Linked DNA regions of Sus scrofa. The protein of the gene in region 2 binds, or shares a complex with, the protein of the main gene of each other region. Links are inferred from orthologs where the notes say so. Each region holds a gene or a part of one and is shown on either strand. Other genes may lie near its edges.

Region 1 (7,656 bases), on a different chromosome or scaffold from region 2:
GACAGGAACTCCAAGGGATTTGATTATTATTAGTTTGTGGCTGCATCTGCAGCATGTGGAAGTTCCCCAGCCAGGGACTGAATCCCAGTTGCAGCTGTGGCAACCCTGGATCCTTTAACCCTCTGAGTCAGGCTGGGGATTGAACCTGCACCTCTGAAGCAACCCAAGCCCCTGCAGTTAGATTTTTAGCCCACTGCACCACAGCAGGAATGCCTATGGAACTCGCTTAAAATGTATATTCTAGCCTCTCCACTGCCTGGAGATTTCTAACTCACGTAATGGGTGTGATAACCTAAGAGTTATGTTTCAGTATTATCCACACTGGAAATTATCAAAATTCCACGTTCAGTTAAACTAAAGGTTCCCAGTGGTATACTGTGATTTCCTTTCTTATCAGAATTTTCTCCATCTTCAGCATAAGGAATTCCACCGATCTGCTGACATTCTTATAATGTGTACTCTGTACCAGCCCCCATGCTAGCTGCTTGACTTGTATGAATTGATTTAATCCCCTCAACGACCCTAATAAGGTAGGTAGTATGATGATACTATTTTACAGATGAGAAGATTGAGGCAAAGAGTTTTCAGAGGTCACACAGCTAATATGGTACCTAAGCCCAGAGCTCTGTGATGGGAAAGATCCGAGCCATGCCAATAGTAAAAAGGACCCATTTCACAATTTTATACAATTTATACAATTTTATACATTCAGCTCAGGATACTACCATGCAGAAATAAGTTGGATTCCTTAATTTCTGAGGGCTGTTGAGAAACATTTTTGCTTTGACATCTTGCAACTTCATATTTACATGGTTTCGGCTAATACTTCACACTCTCAGATGTTCCTTAAATACTGGATGTTGATTTGGGGTGTTATAAACTTGAGATATTGTCGATATTTTGCTAGTACTCTCCATTTCTCCCCAATACTAATATAAATTAAACTGATCTGCTTCCAACCTTCTTCGTGGATGCACACTGAAGCTATTTATAACTGGTTAGAAAACTCAGTTGATGAGGCTCTATCAGCCAGGTGAGGTGAGTTGAGACTAAAAAGCTTGTCTTAAGCATGGGTGCTTGCTCCTACCTTGGGGGCTGGGTTCCGGCCTGGCCCACCAGAGCTAGCCAAAGTCAAGCTCTGCATTGCAATACCTTGCTGAACCCTCTTTCCTATACCTCACTCCTTCCCTAGAGCCCAAGGTATCAACTAACTACACCTGAAAAATTAATTCCTACTATGGTCTAGTGGGAAATAACATAGGAACTTAACAACGGGACCTCTTGAGGCTACATCCCTGACAGCTGCCTCAGGCTGAAATCTTTTGCACATTAGTGAACAAAGAGCATCCAATGATGTAGTAGATTTTTTAAAGTAGAGTGAACAGACAACACAAATTGCCTCTGCTTTTGCACTGCTGAGTGGAAGAGAAATTTGGACATACAATCTTGTATGTGTATCTATATATCCCTCAACTCCTATCCCCACCTCCCAGGAGCTCAAAGTGTGAAGTGGTAAAGCCCCAACGATGCAAGAAAAGATTCAATATTTAGCGAGACAACGAGAAAATTTGGACGTTCCCCTCGTGGCTCAGCAGGTTACGAACTCAACTAGTATCTATAAGGATGCGGGTTTGATCCCTGACCTCGCTCAATGGGTTAAGATCTGGCTTTCCTGTGGCTCTGGTGTACGCTGGCAGCTGCAGCTCGTATTTGAGCTCTATCTAGCTTGGGAACTTTCATGTGCTGCAGGTGCGGCCCTAAAAGGACAAAAAAAGGGGGTGGATTTTGATGACTAACCAAGAATCTTCTAGTATACTGGGCTGCAAAGAATAGAGAAAATAAAAATGACAACATATGCCATTAACTGAGCATTCATTTGCCACAGGCATTTTTCTAAATACTCTTTGCATTCATTAGCACATTTTAAGCCCCAGGATGGAATTATATGAGGTAGGAACAATAATTAATCTAATTACACAGATAAGAAAGCTGGGGAGGGAGTTCCCGTCGTGGTGCAGTGGTTAACGAATCCGACTAGGAACCATGAGGTTGCGGGTTTGGTCCCTGCCCTTGCTCAGTGGGTCAAGGTTCCGGCGTTGCCGTGAGCTGTGGTGTAGGTTGCAGACGCGGCTCGGATCCCGCGTGGCTGTGGCTCTGGCGTAGGCCGGCGGCTACAGCTCCGATTCGACCTCTAGCCCGGGAACCTCCATATGCCGCGGGAGCGGCCCAAGAAATGGCAAAAAGACAAAAAAAAAAAAAAAAAAAAAAAAAAGAAAAAGAAAAGAAAGCTGGGGAGTTAGGAGATTTGCGGGAGCCCTACAACTAGTAAACGATGCACCTGGGACCAAGGTGTCAGGCCCGGACCCCCGGCACTTACCTCCTACACTATAAGAAAGAGATCAAATCCGCATCATTTTCTGGGAGAGTCAGAAGCAAATGCGGGGCGAGAAAAAAACCACTGTGTGGATCACCCACTTAATTAAAGGACACAGTTACTTAGACTCCTTGCGGTTTCCAAGCTCATTTACAGAAGCAAATGAGTGGTGCTATTATTATGCCATTGAGCCCAGGGTAAGAAACTGGGCATCTTAAGTTTAAGAGGACTAAGCCATTCTTTTCCCGTTCTTATATTTTTTTTAATGAAAGGAGAAAAAAAAAAAGCCAAACAAGGTTATAGGAAGTGTGGTACTGCAAAGACTGACAGATACACATAAAACAAGTAATGCTTTTTAACATACCCAGTGTGACAGTGTGTTGGAAACCTCCTTTTGGTGATAACCACGGAGGTCCAAGTCTATCACTGTGTGACTCTGAGGTCCGGCCACTGGCTTCCTGGAGGCCCTGCGACAGGCCCTGGTGAAAACTCAGGACGCCTCCACTTGAGCGTGGGTTTTGTCTGCAACCTGCAAACGGGCAGGAAGAGCCGCAGAAAGCCCAGGCTGCAGGCGGGGCTCTCCATACCGAGCGGTGCCGCGGGAAAAGCAGTCGGGTCCCGAGCGCCCTCGGAACCAAAGAGCGGGCCTCCAGCCGTCGGGGGCAGCGTTTCCCGAGCACCGGGGGGCGGGGCCTGGCCGCCTGGGCGGGACTCCCCGGGATCGGCTGGAGCGGCCGGAGCGGCCCAGGGGGTGCGGAGGTCCGCGCGCCGGCGGCCAGACCATGCTGAGCGGAGCGCGCGGTCGGCTCGCCTTAGCGCTGCGAGGGACACGCGCGCCGCCGTCCGCGGTCGCCAGGAGGTGCCTGCACGCTTCGGGCTCGCGGCCGTCCGCGGACGAGAACAAGAAGGAGGGGAAACCGCCACGCGCCTTCGACCCGGCGCTGCTGGAGTTCTTGGTGTGCCCGCTGTCCAAGAAGCCGCTCAGGTAAGATTCGTCCGCTGCGGCTTTTCCCTGGTGGCCCCCTGTCGCCGGGGAGACGTTCAGGTCACCCGGGTGTTCTTCGCTGCCATGTTTTGGACCCGGGCCCGCCAGCTTCCCGGGTACTCGCTCCGCCGCGGGAAGGGCGGGAGGAGGCCCCAGCCGAGCCCCAGGCCTCCCGGACCAAACCGGCCACTCGCAGGCCTGGATCCTGGCGGGCAGCTTCTCCGCCGGCAGCGTTTTAGAATCTCGGGGGAATCCTTCTTAAAACGCAGATCTCTAGGCAACGCCCCACCCGGGCTCAATCCGAAGGCCTTGGGGCCGAGCCAGAGCAACTGCGTATTTTCTTGAAAGGATCCCAAGTGATCTTCCTGTACAGCCAGGGTTATGAACTCGGGATTCGGAAGACTAATCCATGGCATTCAGATTTTTAAGGCAAGGCGATGAAAAATGTGATAGCTTCCAGATTGTTGCGAAAACGCCGGGTAGGATCTTAAGCGCATCAGCTACGTGTGCGGCCCTTTGGTTTTTAGTTCTCGACCAGCCGGTTCTGTAAAGGCCTTCTTAACCTTTCACCTAGACTCTTTAGGATAAACATCTCTGCAGTTGCAGGCTGCTAAACCTGAACGTGGACAATACTAGCAAACACCGCAGTGTCATCAGTGGCTGCCTTTGGGTGGTAGATTGCTGCTTCCGTGGTTTCCTTCTCATGGATCAGTGAGGCAGGTGTTCTGATAAGCGAAGAAGCTGAATTTTCCTCTCGTGTCTGTTCCAGTAGTAAATTAGCTGGGATCGTTTGAGGGTTTAAAAGAGTCATGAAGGAATATTTGGATGAAAAGGAGAGATCTTTTCTTTTTTTTTTTCCACTAAGGCATAGCTTAAGAATAACGTGAAAAAGAAAATGAGAGAAACAGACTAAAATGGGAACAATTAGAGATTCCTTTTCTAAGAGAAATGGTTGAATTGGCTACTGCTGCTTTTAGAATGAAAAACAGTCTAATTCTGCTTTTCTGGCTCTAACTGTGTGAAGAATTGGATAAATGTTACTGTTTATTGAACCTCAGACTCTTCCGGGATTCATTTTGGTTTTCTTCTGCCCCTCAGATATGAACCATCGACAAATGAATTGATTAATGAAGAGCTGGGAATAGCCTATCCGATTATTGACGGGATTCCTAATATGATACCACAGGCAGCTAGGATGACACATCAAAATAAGAAGCAAGAAGAAATGAAGCAGCACTAGGTCATACGTAAACACAACACAAGGAAATTTTCTAAACACCATCCACCTTCGAAGAAGCCAGCGTGGCGGGTGGTGGGTGGGAGAGAAGAATGTTTCTGTCTCTTCCCACGCTGACTGTCCTTGTCCCCCTGGTCTCTCTGGGAGGACTGCTGTACTCCGCCTCCGTGGAAGAGAGCTTCCCCCAGGGCTGCACCAGCACAGCCAGCCTGTGCTTCTACAGTCTGCTCCTGCCCATCACCATCCCCGTTTACGTGTTCTTCCACCTCTGGACTTGGATGGGTATTAAACTCTTCCGGCATAATTAACGCAGCCGGAGCCACGATGGTATTTAAACTCATGATATGCTTGAGTGAGTGTGTCCGAAAGCTCCGCCACATGGAAATACTGGAAACCCAGACTTTGCAGGAAAGAGGCTTTGCTTATTAGCCTTTGTCAGAGGTTTAGGACTATGTGACGTTTAAGCTGCAAGAGGCTTCTTTCTTGTATTTTGGTTCTTCCCCTGCTTTTTGAAGGTTCTGATTTATACCTGGTCTCTCGGAAGAAACATTTCAACAAAGTGGCTTGTTGGAAATTAGCACCCCCACAGCCATCATCTGATGGCTTGTTCTTATCCCATTCATAATTAAAAATTACTAATTCGAAATTGTAGGTTTGTTTTTAGGTTCAAAGCCTTTGGTAAAGCCACATGTGAAGGATGACTGAGATAATTCCAAGGAGCTATGGGGAGTAATTGTAGAGAAATGCATTTGGACTAGTGTGATATAAAACTATAATAAAATGTAAATTTCATGTACTTGCCAAAATTCTGAGTTGGTAAAATTGCCTTCATTTCTTTGGCATCAGATGGCTTACATTATTAATAAGATATTGACATTTTCCATAAAACAATTTGCAGTTTTGTGTTTGGTTTTTTTTTTTTTTTCCTTTTGGTCACAAGAATATAATTCAAAGACAAGGAAATTATATGTTTAGAGAGGCACCCAAAATAGAACAGAATTTCCCAGGAAAGTATGTGCTGTGAGGAGAGGTGGAATTGAAAGACTGGCAAATAGCTGATTGTGTCCTGTTGAGTTTAGTTAGGGCGATTATTGAGCCACATTTCAGTTTATTTTTCTGCCATAAGAGACCTATTTATTTAGCAATACTAAGGGCATGAGCATTTGACACATTAATAGTTATTGATTTTCCAGAATTTTCAATAAGACTGATTAGTACAATAACTGTTTCAGAAGTATAACAAATGTTTCAGTATTTACCCTCATGAAGCCTAAGAACTCAATGTAACCTTAACTGATTCTTAATAGAATTTTAAAGTAGTGTAAAAGAAGCTTTAGACAGTGATTCTTCCCCTTAAAAAGAAAATTTAAAACATGAGGTTAGGCATTCCCGTCGTCGTTGTTGTGGCTCAGTGGTTAATGAATCCAACTAGAAACTGGGGGGTTGTGGGTTTGATCTCTGGCCTCTCTCGGTGGGTTAAGGATCTGGTGTTGCGATGAGCTGTGGCGTAGGTCGCAGATGCAGAGCAGATCTGGCATTGCTCTGACTCTGGCTCTGGCTGGTGGCTACAGCTCCAATTAGACCCCTAGCCTGGGAAGTTACATAAGCCGCATGTGCGGCCCTAGAAAAAAATAAAGTATAAGGTTAGATGTGTTTTCTGTTGCATTAATTCAGTGTATACACTATAGTGCAAGTCACGTTTTAAAAATTACCCTGGGGGGTTCCCGTCGTGGTGCAGCGGAAACAAATCCAACTTGGAACCATGAGGTTGCAAGTTCGATCCCTGGCCTCGCTCAGTGGGTTAAGGATCAGGCGTTGGCGTGAGCTGTAGTGTAGGTCGCAGACAGGGCTCTGATCTGGCGCGGCTCTGGTGTAGGCTGGCAGCTGTAGCTCTGATTCAGCCCTTAGCCTGGGAACCTCCATGTGCCTTGGGTGCAGCCCTACAAAGAAAAAAAAAATTGCCCTGGGGAAAAATACAAATAATCAGGAGACAATAGAAGTACCTGTCATTTCCTGAAATGGTATTACTGTTCTTTTTAATTTGCCCTAAATATCTCTATAGTCAGTGTAAATGAAACCATTTTGCTGAAAGAACAAGCACCCTGTTCTGAAAAGTCAGTTTCAGCTTGCAAAAGTTAAGCATTTTAATCATTTTGGAGGAAACTGACTAGTGTCTCCCTGGGGGACCTCAGTGTTAACTCTATCCTTTCACTAGTAGAATTCCTCTAGCAATCACTCGTATAGTACAAGCTACATAAGGGATAGTTCTAATGAGCATATCACACACAAATATGAGGGGTTGGGTAGGAAGTATCGGCACCATTTTACAGGTAGGGAAACTAGAGCACAGAGATTAAGTGGTTTACCCAGAGTAACAATTAATACTTGAACTGAAGTTGAAACCACTTGGCGGTGTGACTTGCCTTCTCAGTCCCTGCAGAGCGAAGCTTTATTTTGAGCAAATTCATCTTTTCTATTTATGTGAAAAATGGAATGAGGAATCAAAATGCTTAGATTCAAATTCTGGCCCAAGCCTGACGCCCTTACTGTTTTCCTAAGTCCCGTATGTTTTTCGCTCTATTCTAGCACTTAACCTTGCACGTAAGTGCCTGTTTTTGATAGTAAATTGTTGGTTTTTAACCGAATGCTTAGCCCAGAGGCAGTAAGCACTTCCGAGAGGCAGAGGCAGTAAGCACTTCCGAGAGGCGTGAACGCATGGCTCCGACAAGCCTTCTAACTAGGCAAGTTCACATCTCGGCGCGTCATCCTCAGGCCCCCGAATCCTTCCCCGCTTCCTTTGTAAAACCGAGGAACAAGCTAACTCCGTGTGAAAGCACTCTGGCACCGACAGATGGCACGGCTGCATGGGGGGCTCTGGAGACCAGCTCCCCAGTCAACAACCCCAACTGGTGAAAACGGTAGGCAAGACCCTTTCAAGCCTGGAAACTGTCCTAAGGGCAAACAGCCCTGCGAGGAAACAGACAAACTCGTTAAGGACCCGTTTTGTAACATCTGCACCAGCAGGCAGGTCCCTCCTCTCATCTGGCTGATTTTTGAGGA
Region 2 (7,598 bases):
CTAACACAAGAAAGAGGAGGTCATGGGGAACTCGGATGTGCAGCCAAGTGGGGAGAAGTCTCGTGGGACCGAGCCCTTAATTGTGGGATCTGATACTATTTCTGGGTAGATCGTGTCAGAACTGACACCAACTGGCGTCACAGATTTATTGCCCTTGGTGTGGGGACTTCTCCTAACATTTGGTGTCAGAAGTATTGTGAGTGTGGTAGCAGTGTGAAGGTAAAGGAGAAACACAGACCAAGCTTTTTCTAAAACAGTTTTGTATATGTAACATAATACCTAGAGCAACCACTAAAAAAGCTACATAAGGAAGCATATATTCACACTGTATAGATAAGCCAAAATAGAATTTTAAACAAGGTGAAACTGTAAGCTGCTTTTTGCAAGAAAGAGCTCTCTGCAGGAGACCCCTTTTATCTTGCCACTTTAACAAAGCTATATTTTAACTAGCTTCCAGCCCAAGCACACCTTTCAAATCTATTGATCACACATATTTTGTTCCTTAGATCAAAGAAAAAGAAATGACCAATAAGTCATTAACAGTTGGTCAGAATTTTTTTTTCTTTTTTGGGCCATACCTGCGGCATATGGAAGTTTCCAGGCTAGGGGCTGAATCAGAGCTGCAGTTGCTGGCCACAGCCACAGCCACAGCCACACCAGATCCGAGCCACATCTGTGACCTACGCCAGAGCTTGCGGCAACGCTAGATACTTAACCCACTGAGCGAGGCCAGGGATTGAACCCACATCCCCATGGATACTAGTCGGATTTGTAACTCGCTAAGTCACAACGGGAATGCCACAGATGGCCAGATCTCTTCCCCAGTTTCCCTTCAGTAATCTCACAAGCAAACTGCGTAAACAAGATAGCCTCTAAAGAAAGGTCAGAAGAAGTAGATGAGCCTGCACACAGTGGGAGATGTCGACGAATCGGACCGCCTACCTCAGTAATTAACTGAGATTACTTCCCTTTCTCCCTTGAAAACCTTCATGGCCAAACAGAATCTTGGGAGCTGGTCTTGTTATAGGGGTCCACTTTCTCCCCAGATTGCCAGCTTTTGATTAAAGCAATCTGTTTCTACCAGCACTTGCCTCTTGAGTATTGACTTTTTAGCAGCAAGCAGCAAGACTGGAATTTGTCAACAAAATGTGTTATATTTGTCTTTTTAATGTAAAATTTCTTTTTCTTTTTTTTTTTTTTTTGTCTTTTTGCCATTTCTTGGGCTACTCCTGCGGCATATGGAGGTTCCCAGGCTAGGGGTCGAATCGGAGCTGTAGCCACCAGCCCGTGCCAGAGTCACAGCAACTCAGGATCCGAGCAGCATCTGTGACCTACACCATAGCTCACGGCCATGCCACATCTTTAACGCACTGAGCAAGGCCAGGGATCGAATCCGAAACCTCATGGTCCCTAGTTGGATTAGTTAACCACTGATCCACAACGGGAACTCCAAATGTAAATATTTCTTGATCAATTTCACAAAAAACTGCAATAAGATTTACGAGTTCTTTTTGTTGGTTTTTTATTTTTTAATTAAAAAAATTTTTAGGGCTGCATCTGCAGTATATGGAAATTTCCAGGCTAGGAGTAGAATCAGAGATACAGCTGCAGCAACTTGGGATCCAAACTGCATCTGCAACCTATACCACAGCTCCCCGCAATGCTGGATCCTTAACTGACTGAACACGGCCAGGGATCGAACCCAGGTGTTCATGGATACTAGTCGGGTTCTTAACCCACTGGCCACAAAGGGAACTCCTTTGATGGCAGAAGGAAGGGATAATAATTAGACTCATCATCTTCCGCTCTTGCTAACCTCCCAGCCAGGATTTGTCTGCCTACTCAATGCTCCAGGCAGTGGTTTGGGAGAGAGGACACCTAGCCAGTGAGATCTAAACTCCTTACCAAGCCCTATACAAAATCCTCCTGGTTCTGACCGCTACCTACCTCCCAACAGCCGACTGCATTCCTTATGCGTCAGCCTCTCTGACCTTTTGATTCCTTCAATAAGCCGATCTTGTTCCAGCCTCGGGGGCTTTCTTTTTCCTGGTCCTCCTTCCTGGCAAATTTCTTCTCCAGACCTGCCTCAGACCAGTCTGGCACCTTATACTTGTAGCTCCAGTGTCTCATCTCAGAGGATGTCGTCTGTCCTCTTCAAAGTCCTCGAGTAGCCCTGCAGGTCCTATTATTGCCAAGAGCACTCTGAGATTATTTCCATATTGTTTCTCTTAATAGGAAGGAAACTACTAGAAAGCAGGGATTTTGTCAATACTGTTTACCGCTGTACCCCTTCAGCACCTAAAACTACCTTGCACCGGGATGAATGAATGAATGAATGAACAAATACCTGCGGGCTGTCTCCTTGGGCGTACTCTGGCTTAGAAATAGAAATCAGTTTGTTGGGCGAAAGCACATTAACAGCTGTTTTAATCTGCCCGCTGAGGCCTTGGCCCCCTTTGAATCTCTGGGGTAGATAATCTTCAAATCCCTCTGGGCCAGGGCGTGGAAAAACCTAAACCCGAAGAGCGTCCCTCCTGTCGGCGGCGGAACTGCGGCTGCGCGCAGCCGGGGGAGGGGCGTGGCCAACCCCGCTCGGGAAGCTCGCCCAGAGCCGGCGAGAGGACGCTGGAGGGCGCGCCAGACGCCGCGGCGTGGCCTGGTGGAGGCGAGCCGGCCATGGAGGACGAGCAGAGCTTCTCAGACATCTGCGGGGGCCGCCTGGCCCTGCAGCGGCGCTACTACTCCCCGTCCTGCCGGGAGTTCTGTCTCAGCTGCCCTCGGATCTCGTTCCGCTCGCTCACCGCAGTCACCTGCACCGTGTGGCTGGCGGCCTACGGACTCTTCACGCTTTGCGAGGTAAGGCCGGCCGGCCCCTTCCCGCGGGCCGGAGTCGGAGGCTCGGCTTTAGAAGGGTCTTGGGTTGAGCCCAGACCTCTCGCCGGACCCTCCTCCAGTCGCAGGGCTGGAGGGAGGGAACGGGAGGGTTCTGGGGACGCCATTCCGCTGCTGGACAGCTCTCCTCCTTAGGTTTAGTGACGTTTGTGCTCCTGTACTTTATCCCGCTCACGGGCCGCTGCTCTGCTCCCTGGTTCCACCCAGCATACAGATGGAGCTCGTCCTTGCACGACAGTCCAAAACATTAACTTCCCCGTGCTCTCTGTAGTCCACGCGCATGGTCATTCAGGTCCAAGAGTTCAAGAGAACTAAATGGATCGTCATCATCCATCACTTCCACTCCTCAGAGGAATCACTGCTAACAGTACCTTAAAGTCTTCTAGAAACTGCCTGTGCCGCCACAGTAATGTCTTTGCCTCCGTGTGTCTTTGCCTCCGCAGTTCACACAAGCAAGTTAAGAGTTTGATATAGTTCTTCCTAATCTCCTTTTCAAGGCAGCCTAACTCCTCCTCCTCCCGATCCCTTCCCCAAACTTAAATTGTGAAATTTTGGACATGGGTGGTTTCTATGCTCAGTTCTAGACTCATTCCCTTTTTCTGGGCCTCAATGTTCACGTCTCCAAAATGCAATTAATATCTGCCACGCCACTTTCACAGCATTGTGAGGGTCACATGTAGTGGCTTTGTGACAGCCCTCAAATAAAAGGAATCATCCTTATTGTTTTCTTCAGTAATTTAGTTTCGTATGTAGTGCCCTAAATTGAATGTATTATCCCAGGAGTGACCTAACTAGAGCTAAGTACAGCAAGGCTATTTATTTCTATAGTTTGGGTATTGTTTCCCATACTGCATCCATTAATTTGTACCAAATTGCATTGAAAAGCTTGTTTGTAAGTCACTCGAATTGGTTAAGTTGCCAGGACCGTCCTTCCCCTTCCGTAAAAAGATTTAATATATAATATAGCTGAACTTCAATACGAGCTTGAGCTCTGACCATGTAGTCATGTGAGGAAGAGGGAACAGGTATTTTTATTAAATGCCCACCAAGTGCCTGCTGCTTTACTAAATGCCTTGTTTCAACCTTAGAAGAAAATCAAGACTCAGAGTAATAACTTATCCGAAGTGATAAAGCTAGTAAATGGCATACCTGGGTTTCAAACCCAGGGCTGACTCTGAAACCATTTCTTCTCACTACACTATGATGTCTCCTCCTTGGGGAGGGCTTACTTAGGCAAAATTTTTAAATAGGGGAAGTTTGTTATTGTGCCAGCTCCCTTTTGTATGCATTTCTCCCATCCTGGTATATCCCACTTACCCCATCAAATGTCCAGGCTCCGTAACTTCAGCTTCCTTTAAACTCCACTGCAACACTTCTTAAGGGCCCTGTGCACCAAAATTTCTTTTCTTTCCTCCTATTCAAAACTATTAGAGTAATGAATCTCAGCTAGAATGAGAAGTCTGATGAAGAAATTCCTTAAAACATGTGGCTTAACTTCAACCCAAACGAATACTGAATTGTTAGAATTTCAGAAAGAAAAATGAAGTATAAAAAATTGTAGGTAGTGGAGTTCCCATCGTGGCGCAGTGGAAACAGATCCAACTAGGAATCATGAGGTTGCAGGTTCAGTCCCTGGCTCACTCAGTGGGTTAAGGATCTGATGTTGCCGTGAGCTGTGGTGTAGGTCGCAGATGAAGCTCAGATCTGGTGTTGCTGTGGCTGTGGTGTAGGCTGGCAGCTGTAGCTCCGATTAGACCCCTGGCCTGGGAACCTCCATATGCCGCGGATGCAGCCCTAAAGTGCAAAAAAAAAAAAAATGTAGGTAGTAATGAAGTTTGGGGCAAGGATTACTTTCTAGAAATGCTAATATGGGTCAAATCCCCTAAGTATATCATGTTCTTCATCCCTTCTTTCCTCCCAGTTTTTGAACTCACAGTTCTGTTGGAATTCTAAGTCTTTATTTATTCCTAGAATATCGACCTCCTTCCTTTTCTCAGCTAAGTATATCTGTCAATAACCACTACCTCCTCTGTACCAGCTAAATCCTGCTTCCTTGGACGTCTTCATGGGATCTTCCTGTGTGCTTAAGTCTCTTTCTTGCTTTCGCTCTCTCTCTTTTAATCCAGTCTTAGGCACTTCTAAAAGTATCACTTCTAGTGAATAGTATCACAGTATCCTCCAAAAGTATTTTTTATATATTGATCTTGCCTCTAATAAATCTCTAAGGGCCAGAACCGAATTTTATCATTCTCCACTCTTCCTAATACTTAACTCAGTTCACACTGTGTACAAGACACTACTGTACTAGATGCTAGACTCAGTTAACTAAAAGTGTTTCTGGATCATCAGAGACCCAGCACAAAGATTTCTCCATCTTCCATTTGTTAATCCACAAATGATTATCTAGCACAGAGGTCAGCAAAGTTTTTCTTTAAAAGTCCAAATAGTAAATATTTTAGGCTTTACAGGTCTCTGTCTCATATTCTTCTGTTTCTTTTTCTCTTTTTCTTTCTTTTTATCAACCCCTTAAAAAATGTAAAAAACAGAGTTCCCTGCGTGACTCAGTGTTTAATGAATCCGACTAGGAACCATGAGGTTGCGGGTTCGATCCCTGGCCTCGCTCAGTGGGTTAAGGATCTGGCGTTGCCGTGAGCTGTGGTGTAGGTGGCAGATGTGGCTTGGATCCCGCGTTGCTATGGCTCTGGAGTAGACTGGCGGCTACAGCTCCAATTCAACCCCTAGCCTAGGAACTTCCATATGCCACGGGTGCAGCCCTGGAAAAAGACAAAAAATGTAAAAAACATTCTTAGCTGAAGGTGGACCAGACAAAAACAGATCACAGGTCCAAACAGTTTGCAGACCTCTGATCTGACACTTAACTATGTGTTAACGTAGAAAGAAGTAGAAAGTTACTTTCAAGGAAAACCAGAGCTGGTCAGTAGCTAAAGGGGTAAAAACAGATTTTATTCAGAAACAACTGTAATTGGAGAAAAGAGACCTCAGTATCAAATTGGGCTCCATCCTGAATATAGCAGGGGTCAGTGGGAATTTATAGTCAAGGAGCAGGGTTGGGGGTTCGTGGGTGGAAAATTACTCAAAGAAAACCTCAGGGGCAAAGGGGGCTTCTGGCTAAGCTGATTTGACAGCATTTTTGCTAAAGGCAGTCCAAGGTGATCAGATTCCAAGGTGATCAGATACCAGGGGTGAGAAATTCTCTAAACTCACTTGGCAAGATTCTTGCTACAGCTTGTTGGACCATGCAGGCCCAACAAGTATGGACACCAAGGTCCGATGCTTAGGAGAGCCCGACTAGAGGTAGGTCAGAGAGGGTGTCTTGTCAATAATAAAGTTTTTTTTTGTGTTTGTTTGTTTGTTTTGTCTTTTTGCCATTTCTTGGGCTGCTCCCACAGCATATGGAGGTTCCCAGGCTAGGGGTGGAATCGGAGCTGTAGCTGCTGGCCTACACCAGAGCCACAGCAACGCAGGATCCCAGCCATGTCTGTGACCTACACCACAGCTCATGGCAACGCTGGATCCTTAACCCTACTGAGCAAGGCCAGGGATCGAACCCGCAACTTCATGGTTCCTAGTCGGATTCGTTAACCACTGCTCCTCGCCACGACGGGAACTCTGTCAATAATAAAGTTTAATGAAACACTTCCTGCCCTCTCTTTTGATTCAAGGTCATCATTTCCCCCCGCCCCCCGTGCCATCCTTCTAAATAAGACATTTTTGGAAAAAAAAGAGAAAACAGTGCCACATGAAAGAAACATACCCCAATAGAAACTTTCTACTTAAGAAATGTTAAAAAAGTTTGTAAATGTGTCTTAGACTCAAAGAAAGAAATACCTTTTTGGGCGCCCTTAACACATCAGTTAGTCATTTCACCTGGTCAGTCAGCCACAACCCAAAACAACTAAACTAGCCCTAGATGGTAAGACCTGTATTATTTAACAAAACAAAAAGTCAGGGCTCTGAAGGCATGAGAGACTCAGATGATTTTGTGTTTTCATCGTACTGCTCTTTCACCCTTGATGTCCTCAGCCTAGCTTTCCACACGGTTTGGCAGAGGCCAGGTAGTTCCAGGCACCAAAACCTCAGGATGAAGGGGCCTTCTCTTCTTAGATGTCTTTTGGAGATGGCCTTGGAAGGAGGAGTAGCTGTTGAGCATTATCTGCTACACTGTGCTAAGCATTTTATTATTATTCAGTTGGTGATTTTGCTGTCTGTTTTACCGATGGAGCATGGGAAGCAAAGATCAGAGTCCTTAAGTTACAATTCTGGAAGGAAACTCTCTGGAGAGCGGTGTGATGGTGGGTATTTTGCTGACGGAGGTTCTTTTCCCTAGACCTCTCCATTTGTCAGCTGCGTGTATTTCATCACATGCTTTTATAGCACTACAGAGACCAAATAAAAGCCATTTCCTCTTCCTCCTTGCATGTTCCTCCTATCTGTTCAACTCAGGATAGGACGAAGGCTTTTTCCCACCGCCTAAAGTTGACTTATTAAACCGCAGAGATTTATGGGGAGGACCACTGGGTAATCTTACCGCCCGTGTCTGGCTCTCTCTTCAGAACAGCATGATCCTCTCTGCTGCCATCTTCATCACCCTCTTAGGCCTGCTCGGGTACCTCCATTTTGTGAAGATTGATCAGGAGACTCTGTTAATCATTGATTCCCTTGGCATCCAGATGACCTCATCCTAT

The links.
Region 1: PIGH (region 2) and PIGY share a complex: the UniProt entries of both Homo sapiens proteins name them as parts of the glycosylphosphatidylinositol-N-acetylglucosaminyltransferase (GPI-GnT) complex. The link is inferred for Sus scrofa from reciprocal best matches to the Homo sapiens genes PIGH and PIGY.

What each region holds. Positions count from the first base shown.
Region 1 is NC_010450.4:130,524,487-130,532,142, forward strand, and holds PIGY (phosphatidylinositol N-acetylglucosaminyltransferase subunit Y), read left to right. Parts: upstream 1-3,084; 5' UTR 3,085-3,156; coding exon of another isoform or gene 3,157-3,359; intron 3,360-4,457; coding exon of another isoform or gene 4,458-4,599; 5' UTR 4,600-4,688; coding exon 4,689-4,904; 3' UTR 4,905-5,497; downstream 5,498-7,656. UniProt on the Homo sapiens protein: Part of the glycosylphosphatidylinositol-N-acetylglucosaminyltransferase (GPI-GnT) complex that catalyzes the transfer of N-acetylglucosamine from UDP-N-acetylglucosamine to phosphatidylinositol and participates in the first step of GPI biosynthesis.
Region 2 is NC_010449.5:91,311,324-91,318,921, reverse strand, and holds the start of PIGH (phosphatidylinositol N-acetylglucosaminyltransferase subunit H), read left to right. Parts: upstream 1-2,573; 5' UTR 2,574-2,676; coding exon 2,677-2,856; intron 2,857-7,466; coding exon 7,467-7,598. UniProt on the Homo sapiens protein: Part of the glycosylphosphatidylinositol-N-acetylglucosaminyltransferase (GPI-GnT) complex that catalyzes the transfer of N-acetylglucosamine from UDP-N-acetylglucosamine to phosphatidylinositol and participates in the first step of GPI biosynthesis.